Linked DNA regions of Mus musculus: region 1 is reported to be linked to region 2. Evidence: microRNA targets listed by miRTarBase, many of them from high-throughput screens and not tested one by one. Region 2 holds a microRNA gene; the other region holds the end of a gene's coding sequence.

Evidence for each region. The annotated mature microRNA mmu-miR-465b-3p reads GAUCAGGGCCUUUCUAAGUAGA and lies in region 2 at 1,570-1,591, opposite strand. An mRNA with a match to its seed (bases 2 to 7 or 8) in the 3' UTR can be bound and repressed. Matches are read on the target gene's strand: a 7mer-m8 pairs with bases 2 to 8, a 7mer-A1 pairs with bases 2 to 7 and ends in A, and an 8mer does both.
Region 1: the mRNA of Fam78b is a reported target of mmu-miR-465b-3p. The part of its 3' UTR that is shown has no 7-base or 8-base seed match.

What each region holds. Positions count from the first base shown.
Region 1 is chr1:167,078,188-167,083,575 of GRCm38, forward strand. It overlaps Fam78b (family with sequence similarity 78, member B), which reads left to right. Exons shown (of 3, transcript NM_175461.4): 2 at 350-1,280. The coding sequence ends at 872. It overlaps Gm33610 (a long non-coding RNA gene), which reads right to left. Exons shown (of 5, transcript XR_865715.3): 5 at 1,265-1,345. Among named protein-coding and RNA genes, the nearest start is that of Gm33610, 24 kb to the right of the region's middle.
Region 2 is chrX:66,827,643-66,833,030 of GRCm38, forward strand. It overlaps Mir465b-1 (microRNA 465b-1), which reads right to left and starts at 1,638; the gene lies at 1,560-1,638. Mir465c-2 (microRNA 465c-2) reads right to left here and starts at 4,955; the gene lies at 4,875-4,955.

The DNA of each region.
Region 1 (5,388 bases), not on the chromosome of region 2:
CTTCCCCTGATCGGACTTTACACACACACATTCACAGGTCACCTCTACACTGTTCATTGCCATTGTCGCAATGATTTGGCAGCTATACATGGCCTCACCACTATCTCCTTGGGCTTCTTTTCCATTGGCATTGCTTTTTTTTTCAAATGTCACTTTGATTGTTTTTTTTTCTTCTCTCATTTAATCCTGATACAACTCAGCATAGAACTTTTGACCCCAACCTGCCTCCTCCCTCCAAACTTCCCATTTTGCCCAATTTGACTGTCTTAGTAAGTGGTGGGCACGTCTCCAGCTTATAAAAATTTCATTGAGTCTCTTCTTTTCTCGTGTATCCCTTCTGCTTTTCCAGGTCAAGCTGGGAACTGCCTGACTTGAGGGAAGGGAGAGTAAAAGCCATCAGTGACTCAGACGGGGTGAGCTACCCATGGTACGGGAACACGACAGAGACTGTGACCCTGGTTGGCCCCACCAACAAGATCTCCAGGTTCTCCGTCAGCATGAATGATAACTTCTACCCCAGCGTGACATGGGCAGTGCCAGTGAGTGACAGCAATGTGCCACTGCTCACAAGGATCAAGAGGGACCAAAGTTTTACCACATGGCTGGTGGCCATGAACACCACCACCAAGGAAAAGATCATACTGCAGACCATCAAATGGAGGATGAGAGTGGACATTGAAGTGGACCCTCTTCAGCTGTTGGGGCAGCGGGCCCGGCTAGTGGGCAGGACTCAGCAGGAGCAGCCCCGGATCCTGAGCCGGATGGAGCCCATCCCCCCTAACGCACTAGTGAAGCCCAATGCCAACGATGCCCAGGTCCTCATGTGGAGGCCCAAGCGGGGACCACCTCTGGTTGTGATACCTCCTAAGTAAAAGCAGACTGCCCAACTGTGTGTGGAACACATGCCACTGAGACCCGCAGTGGGGTGACCAGGGGTGGCAGGAGCCAAACTGAGTTTCTGAGCCAAAGCAGACCCTCTTGGTGTGCCAGCCTTTGCAGCTACTTGTGATGAGTACAGCTGTTCCTTGGGCGGTAGAACCATAACCCTTAGGAAAAGCCCCTTCCTCTTAGGAATAAAGAAACCACTGATTTGATAGACTTGCTCTGATTACCGTGCAAGTAGCCATATTTTGGAGCTGACCAGGACGATTCTTTTATTTGAACTATTGACCATTTCTTTCCTGTGAGACGCAGGGGATGGAAATGAAACTAAACGGTGCCTGTGGCAGATGCTGCTTCCCAACCAATTAGAAGCGAGAGTGAAAACATCCACACCAGGTGTTCGTAAGACAGTCTCCTTGTGTGACTGGAGGGTGCTGGGGAATTGGGTGAAAGATCCTGGGTTCTGGGGAGAGAGGAAAAGAAGGTGTTACTACAGTTTAATGACAAGTGTTAGCTGGTGGTCAGATTGTCAACACACCCCCTGGAATGAGAGGGACACTTAGAAAACAAAACTCTGTTGTGCCCTTTGAGGGAAAAGCTGTTTTGGAACTGTCCGAGGTGCTGACGTCAGCAGCCCCCAGTGGAGACTGGCTGCTCGCATCCACTCACTCGCCTCTTTCCAAAGAGATTGCTCATTCTAAGTGTTGCTAGTTACGGTATTGGATATACAGTTCCTGTTTTCTGTAGTGATTATGGTGTTGGGTCTCTCTTGAGTTTTTAGTCACTCAATCTGTGACTTTGTTTACAGCCACTGATTCTTATCGCCAGCCCTCAATTCACAAAGATGTATAAGCCTCGTGTTCATGTAGGGTGTAGGGAATGTCTCAACCAATGAGAACAACATTCTCAATATTGAGTTTCTGAATTGTTCAGACACAGGAAGGGCACACATCTGTGCACACACCCGGGTGCTCACACACCAGGATTTAGAAAGAATAACAACTAGTCTTGCCGATAGTGCCTGAATATTCATTCATGGCCTTTAAGCACAAATAGTACACACACTGTATGCCCACATAGGTTAACTTCAGCTATACTTACAAAAATTCAACGTCAACTGCTTGTCCAGTTGTAGATAAGAAATGTTCAGACTTCTTTAGTGAACGTCTGAGCCTTAAGCAATCTTGGGTTGCTGAGATCCAGCCAATAAAGATGAGAAGCAATTTCCCTTTAGTCCAGCAGTGCAAAACTTTTTAAAGAGTTTCCAGTGTTTACAGTGGTAAGATTTCCAACCCTTTCCACCTAAGTCACCATGCCCCGCCCCACCCTCACTGAAGAGCTTCCCCTGTTATTCTCAGCGGTGCCGATTGTGAGGTGCATCCTTTCTTGTTGAGAAACAACTCGTGTAAACTGACTACAGAAGTCTCACAATGGTGTATACTGAGTAAGTAGATTTTTTTTAAGCCTAATTTCAGAGGTGAGAGATTTCCAAGTTCAGGGCCATTATACAAATCCTGTCATTGACTCCAAATCTTCCAGAGTTTGGGGACAGAGAATGCAAACCTTTCTCATTACTCTTGTTTCCCATGCACTGTAGTCTAATTTCCTTCATGCTCTGATCCCAAAGGATGCTACTCAGAGCAATATAGCACTAACTTCACATTCCAACCATTGGCTTCTTTCACCTAGATTAGTTACTGATGGCAAGTTAGTTACAGCAACACATTAATGGTGCATTGGTAACATCGGTGAGTGGCAAAGACTCTGGAAATAAGTCAGCTCCTAACTTGGCTTTCCCATGCTTCCCTACTTTTTAATGGCAGCTGACCTCAGAGACCTACAGATTGAAGAGTAAAGTTGCTTATTTTCCATGCTAACATCAGAAGCAGCAGTCTCTCCCTCACATTGAATCAGATGCCATTTTTATGAGATTTGGGTCAATGGATGCTGATCTTGGAATCTAAGCCATGTAGCCCCACTTTAAGAAAATCTGATTTTTTTTTACATCTAAAATTGTAAGAACAGATGAATAAGTTTATATTAAAAATTCTATGGAAGGTTTCAGTCTTTAAATGTTCCTAGCACGTTAAGATATGACTCACACACTTATATTTACATATAATATAGCTTTTCAAAGCCTTGTCTATAGTTAAAAGCAAGGTGCAGTATGCTTACCTAGACTTATTCTTCCTTAAAAAGAATCAATTCAGATTTTTAAAATAAATTACCCCAAGGCAGTTTCCTGGAGAATGAGGTAATAAAAATTGAGGAAAAAAATATATGAGAAGGGACTCCTAAAAGCTAAACTATGCAAATGTGCTTTACCGTTGTTGTGTGTCTCTTCTGCAAACCCTACCGTTGGGTCTCTCACTTCTGAAATCAACCTGCCAGAACACTCAATTGCCCAATAGCCAATTATGTTAAAATTATCATTGTTTTACAAGGAGATGGCCCCTTTTTTCACTATCTGTGGATCATTGACTTTTAGTTTAGTCAGGACATTGTCAAGCAAAAAGGATCTCTTGTAGGACAGAATTAACCTTGAGGTCTCTGGTGGGAAGATTAACCTGTATTCCCTTGAGAATGCATGATCTGACAGCAGACAACATCAGTTTCAAAGGGGCTCATTATGAGCCTTTGATATTAGTTGGGTTGTCTCCAAACTATATTTGGATCCCATTTATGTACATGGTTTCTTAGTGGTATAAGGTTTTTAAATTCCTGTATTTGAAAGAGCCTTCCACCAGATCTTAAGTTCTAAAATGAGGTCACCTTTGAGATCTTCCAGTCTATGATCTCCAAGGAAATTGAGGCCCATTTAAATTAGGTCATCTATTCAGGATCACATATCTCATCAGCACATGCCACGAAAAGGCCTGAGTCTCCCAGATCTCAGCTTACAATACAGGCACACTACCTGGGACCTGGGGTCCTCCCTTGTTTCCAGCCAGAAACATTGTCATTGTCCTGGAGTCATTCACCCACAAATCAATTAGCCTAGAAATTAAAAACAATTGGGTCCAGACCCCTTTTGTTATAATGTCAAAAACAATGACTATTTCAGACTGCTTTCTATCTGTGACAGCTGTTTTGATATTGAACCCTTGATCTTTGTTCTCCGCTGCATGCCTACCACATCCTCAAGTCCTTGTTACGGCCCACAAGACAGGGGAGGCTGGAAGCTAGTCCCCTTTCTGCCATCCATACAATGAATCATTTTGGATCCTCCTCCATCACTCCCCCAACGAATACCTCAAAGGCCAAAGTCATGGTCTAAGAAACAATTCTGCATAGTAAAATAAAACAGCAATGCTTCATAAAAGATTTTACAAAAGGCTTGCACATACATTTTCTCGTCCACAGGAAATCTTATAAGAAGTGTCGTACAGTGGTGGTTGTGGTGTTATTGTCTCCATTTTACAAATAGCAAATCAAGACCAAAGAGGTTAAATGGAATATCCACAGGCACACAGACAGAAAAATGCCAAGAGCCAGGATTCAAACTGGGCCTTTTGGCTTAAACCCTCATGTTCTGCCTCTGTATCATGCTGGCCCTTAGTTTACCCCTTAGCACAAAAGAGAAGAAAGAAAAGGAGGAAAGCAAGTCACTGTCACCTGGCACAATCATGTAGTCCTCCCCTGCCTACCAAGTGGAGTCATTAAAAATGAGAGACTGAAAGCTGTTTTCTTCCTCAAAGAACCTTGTAATCCCCAGGGAGGTTGGCCCAGAAAAATGCCTGTCAGGGACGGTGGTGTGGGGGAGGTGGCTGTCATTTGTAATTAATGGAGTAAGAAAGCTGTTCCCCTGGTCTCTGAATCCCTTAAACACCACAAGTACAAAGACAGGCAGGAAGCATGCATCCTACAGCTGAGGTCCCAGCTGAGCACTGCCCTGCCACCCGCAGTCCCTCAATGCGCACACAGGAGCAACCCATGGGGTGGAGGCCGTGGAAACAATGGCTTTCCAAGGCCTTCTTGGCACATTGACTGTTCTTGTTAAGAGCAGAGGGCACAATTAAACATTGATAGAGTCAGCTCCCAACTGAGTTGAAAAAAAAAAAGAGAGAGATAAACACACACACATACACACACGTACACACATAGACAAAGACCTAAAACACACACACACACACACACACACACACACACACACACACACACACACACACACTTTCCAGGCTGAAAAGAAAATTAATCAAAAACCCAATGAATGCCTGAACTCTATAATTAAGCCTAAATGATCCTTAGATAGAACAGGAGCTGCGTGAACAAGCCCAGTGAGCAAGCACACAGATATTTTTACCGCAGAGTCTCACTGCCATTAATTTCTTTTGAGATCTTGAGTACATCTGGTCCCCATTTCCCTGGTAGGACATCTGCCTATAGAAGGCTTTCCAGAGAATTACCAGTTCAGTGACAGCCAAGGTTATCTGGCCATTCCCAGGCACTTTTATAGGAACTCCTGTGGGGAGATGTGGTCTCATCAGTCCCCAGGTCAGCCACACA
Region 2 (5,388 bases):
CCACAAACATTGTATGAGTGAGATTTACTTCAGACAAAGAAGTCCTGGAAAAGATCTAAGTCACATAAGTTAACTGTTTTGTACTGCCCGAACATGTCCCATCATATCCTAGAGACTTTGTCATACTCCTAGAAAAGACTTGGGACTGTTCACAGGGTCCCCAATAGAGGAGTTAGAGCAAGTAATGAAGGAGATGAAGGGGTTTGCAACCTATATGAAGAACAACAGTATCAACCAACCTGAACCCCATACCTGCTATGGACTAAACAACCTACCAAGAGTACACATGGAGGGACCCATGGCTCCACCTGCATATGTAGCAGAGGACAGCCTTGTTGGGAATCAATCTGAGGAGAGGCCTTTGGTACTGTGAAGGCTTGATATCCCAAATGTAGGTGAATACTAGGGCAAGAAAGTGCGAGTAAGGGGGTGGGTGAGGTAACACCCTCACAGAAGCAGGAGGAGGTTAGATGGGATAGGATGGAAATGGGTAAATGGCAAAATATTTGAAATGTAAATAAAGAAAATACCTAATAAAATAAAATACAGAACAGAGAGTGGTGAAATTCAGGAAAACATGGACTATGTTAAAACCTTCTATTTAATTACATTAGAAACCTTAAAGAAGTATTCACCAGTTGGTCTTCCCTCTTCTTGTGTTTTACAAATTGAGTATACTAAGCTTATGGGCTATTATCCGATGCTCAGTGAGTGCATAACTAACCACTTCTGTCATGATTGGGTTACTTCACTAAGGATGATATCCTCCAGATACATCCATTTGCCCATGAATTTCATAATCTCATTGTTTTTATTAGCTGAGTAGTACTCCAGTGTATAAATGTATCACATTTTCGGTATCCATTCCTCTGTTGGGAGACATCTGGGTTCTTTCCACCTTCTGGCTATTGTAATAAGGCGGCTATGAACATAGTGGACCATACCCTATAGGTAGAACAACAATATGAACTAAGCAGTATCCCCAGAGCTCATATGTAGCAGAAGATGGCCTAGTTGGGCATCATTGGGAAGAGAGACCTCTAGGTCTTGCAAACTTTATATGCCCCAGTACAGGGGAACGCCAAGGCTAAGATGTGAGAGTTGGTAGATAGAAGATCAGGGTACAAGGAGAGTATAGGGAACTTTTGGAATAGCATTTGAAATGTAAATGAGGAAAATATCTCATAAAATTAAAAAAAAGAATGAAACCTAAAATAAATGGATGTATTTCTAGACAAATATTATCTACTGTAGAGCAAATATGAAGGCTTGATCTCTTGTGAAGAGAAATGGAGGAGAGAATTAGATCTGGTGGACAGGGGAAGTGTAGGGCAGGGGCTATGAGGTGTGTAGAAAGAAGTAAGATAACGTCTGGATGTAATACATGAGGAAAGAATAAATAAATAAATAAATAAATAAATAAATAAATAAATAAATAGAAGTAAAAAAAAAAAGAATGTGGCCATGTGGAAGCTCACCTATAATTACAGAAGGCACATTACATGTACCTACAGATATTCTGAACATTCATCTACAAGTCATATTAAATGTATAGTTGGTAAGCCTTACTCTACTTAGAAAGGCCCTGATCAATTTTTTATTTCATCAGATCAGCACCATTCTAAATAGGGCATTGCATACAAAGCCTTTAAGGAGATGTTCAAACATTCATAAACAGTCTTGTTAGCTTCATCAAACCTCTAATCATAGCCGTTAAGGGCCAAGTAAAGGGTCATACAGAATCCTACTACTATAGAAGTTTCTTTTAATATATATACACATATGAGGAATCAAAACAAAGTCACTAAATAATAGGGAAACCATGCTCTCCACATTACAACTTTCACCATCAAGTGAAACATGCAATGATGAACTGTTTATATCTAGTTGGATCATTAACCAAATGGTTTCCTCCAGCAAACAACTTAGGCTATTGTAAATATTTTGTAAATTGCAAAAACTCTTCATAAGGTGATATTATTGAACAAGGAAGTCAGAGTGGTACCTGTAGAATCAGCACCTCTACTAATCAGCATTCATGGTACTGAAAGTTACTCTGAATGATACCAGAGGATAAATGTAACCATCAACACAACTACAAACCATGTGCTCTACATGGTGATTTGCCTACATGCTGTACTGGTGAAATAGTGGCACAAATGCAATGCAAGTAACTAATTAATCTCTCAATGGGTTTAAGGCCTGCTGTACAAGATGGAACCCATATCCTGGGGTCAAGAATCTAAGTCATGGGCCTAGGAAAGAAACGCATGTTCTATTTTTCTTCTAAATGTACAATTAAATGACTCCTAAGGATGTTCTCCTATACGCATACCAGTGTCTTGATCAGCCATAATAAGCTAGTGGATGGAAAAACACAGACCCAGAATTGGGCAGGATGCAGAGAATGAGAGAATTTGAACAAATACAGGACAATTCCAAGTCAGTATTGCCTCAGCTAGATCCATCACTCTTAGTAATTTTATCACTGTACTCCATAGAGTTTAGAACTTATTAACTGTCCTCTACTTATAAACTCTAGAAAAGAAACCAAAATATATTTTAAACTTATGCCTTTGCCCAGATTCCCTACCTGTTTTAACACTAAAGTATGAAATAGTCATCAATAAATTTGGTACCTATTCCCCCTATTGTACATAAAATTAGTGTTCTAATGTTCCTGGGTAGATAGTAACTGCATATATACTGCCATTTACACCCAGAGCACAATTTCAGGGCATGATGATTCTTGTTTTTACACAAAGATTTGTTCTTCATGTGTTTATAGGACTGAAACAAATCAAGACTATAGCCTGGTATATAGTGCTGATTTCACGTATCTTTACCCTTCCCCATACTTTCAACGGTAATTATAACATAAATAAACATAATATAACATACATAAAGTACTAGCTTTCATCCTGTTCTACTTAGGAAATTCTCTCACTATCTATCAAAATTCTCCCTGAATGTACATTTACTCATGTTTTTTCTTTAAATGAATACTCATCTCTGTAACAAAGCAATATGTTGACTACTATTTTCTTTTTTTTTTTGTCTACTTTACTACAATTAGTAAGTTTGGCTTATTTGCTTTTAAATATTACCTTTGTTTTCTAACCTGTACATTTATGATGAACAATTTTGTGGTGAATACACCCTAAGTTACATTGATGTCCAGACAGTTACAATGCATCCTGCTATCAAAAAGGTTTATCTCTCACATGTTGAAGTTTTAACCAAATTATATCACCACAAACATTGTATGAGTGAGATTTACTTCAGACAAAGAAGTCCTGAAAAGATCTAAGTCACATAAGTTAACTGTTTTGTACTGCCCCAACATGTCCCATCATATCCTAGAGACTTTGTCATACTCCTAGAAAAGACTTGGGACTGTTCACAGGGTCCCCAATAGAGGAGTTAGAGCAAGTACTGAAGGAGATGAAGGGGTTTGCAACCTATATGAAGAACAACAGTATCAACCAACCTGAACCCCATACCTGCTATGGACTAAACTACCTAGCAAGAGTACACATGGAGAGACCCATGGCTCCACCTGCATATGTAGCAGAGGACAGCCTTTTTGAGAATCAATGTGAGAAGAGGCCTTTGGTACTGTGAAGGCTTGATACCCCAAATGTTTGTGAATACCAGGGCAGGAAAGTGGGAGAAAGTGGGTGGGTGAGGTAACACCCTCACAGAAGCAGGAGGAGTATAGATGGGATAGGGGGGAAATTGGTAAATGGGAAAACATTTGAAATTTAAATAAAGGAAATATATAATAAAATATAATTAAAAAACAGTATAGAGAGTGGTAAAAACAGGAAATCTTGGAGTATCTAAAAACCTTGTATTTTATTACATAAGAAACCTTAAAGACGTATTCACCTATCTTCCCCCTTCTTGATTTTCTTGTGTTTTCCAAATTGTATATTGAGTATTTTAAGTTTATAGGCTAATATCCCCTCATCAGTGAGTACATATCTAATGACATCTTTTGTATTTCGGTTACCTCACTAAGAATGATATCCTGAAGATACATCCACTTGACCAAGAATTTCATAAACTCATTGTTTTTAATAGCTGAATAGTACTCCAGTGTATAAAAGTACCATATTTTCTGAATCCATTCCTCTGTTGGGAGACATCTGGGTTCTTTCCAGCTACTGGCTATAATAAATAAGGAGGCTATGAACATAGTGGAGCATACACTATAGATAGAATAACAATATGAACTATCCAGTATCTCCAGAGCTCACATGTAGCAGAAGATGGCCTAATTGGCCATCATTGGGAAAAGAGACCTCTAAGTCGTGCAAACTTTATATGCCCCAGTACAGGGGAATGCCAGGGCTACGAAGTGGGAGTTGGTGGGTAGAGGATCAGGGTGCAAGGAGAGTATAGGGAACTTTTGGGATAGCATATGAAATGTAAATAAGGAAAATATCTAATAAAATTTTAAAAAGAAAAAAAGAATGAAACCTAAAAGAAATGGATGTATTTCTAGATGAATATTATCTACTGTAGAGCAAATATGAAGGCTTGATCTCTTGTGAAGGGAAATGGAGAAGAGAAGTAGATTTGGTGGACAGGGGAAGTGTAGGGCAGGGGCTATGAGGTGTATAGAAAGAAGTAAACTAGAGTCTGGATGTCATACATGAGGAAAGAATAAATAAATAAATAAATAAATAAATAAATAGATAAATAGATAAATAGATAAATAAATAAAATATAAATAAATACATAAATAGAAGTAGAAAAACAAGAACGTGGATATGTGCAAGCTCATCCATAATTACAGAAGGCACTTTACATGTACTTATAGATACTCTGAATATTCATCTACGAGTCATATTAAACGTAGAAGTTGGTAAGCCTTACTCTACTTAGAAAGGCCCTGATCATTTTTTTTTTATTCATCAGATCAGCGCCATTCTAAATAGGGCATTGCATACAAAGCCTGTAATGAAATGTTCACACATTCATAAACAGTCTTCTTAGCTTGATCAAACCTCTAATTATAGCCATTAAGGGCCAAGTAAAGGGTCATACAGAATCCTTCTACTATAGAAGTTTCTTTTAATATATATGAGAAATCAAAATAGAGTCACTAAATAATGGGGAAAACCATGCTCTCAACTTTACACCTTTCACCACCAAGTGAAACATGCAGTGATGAACTGTTTATATCTAGTTGGATCATTAGCCAAATGGTTTCCTCCAGCAAACAACTTAGGCTTTTGTAAATATTTTGTAAATTGCAAAAACTCTTCATAAGGTGATATTATTGAACAAGGAAGTCAGAGTGGTACCTGTAGAATCAGCACCTCTACTAATCAGCATTCATGGTACTGAAAGTTACTCTGAATGATACCAGAGGATAAA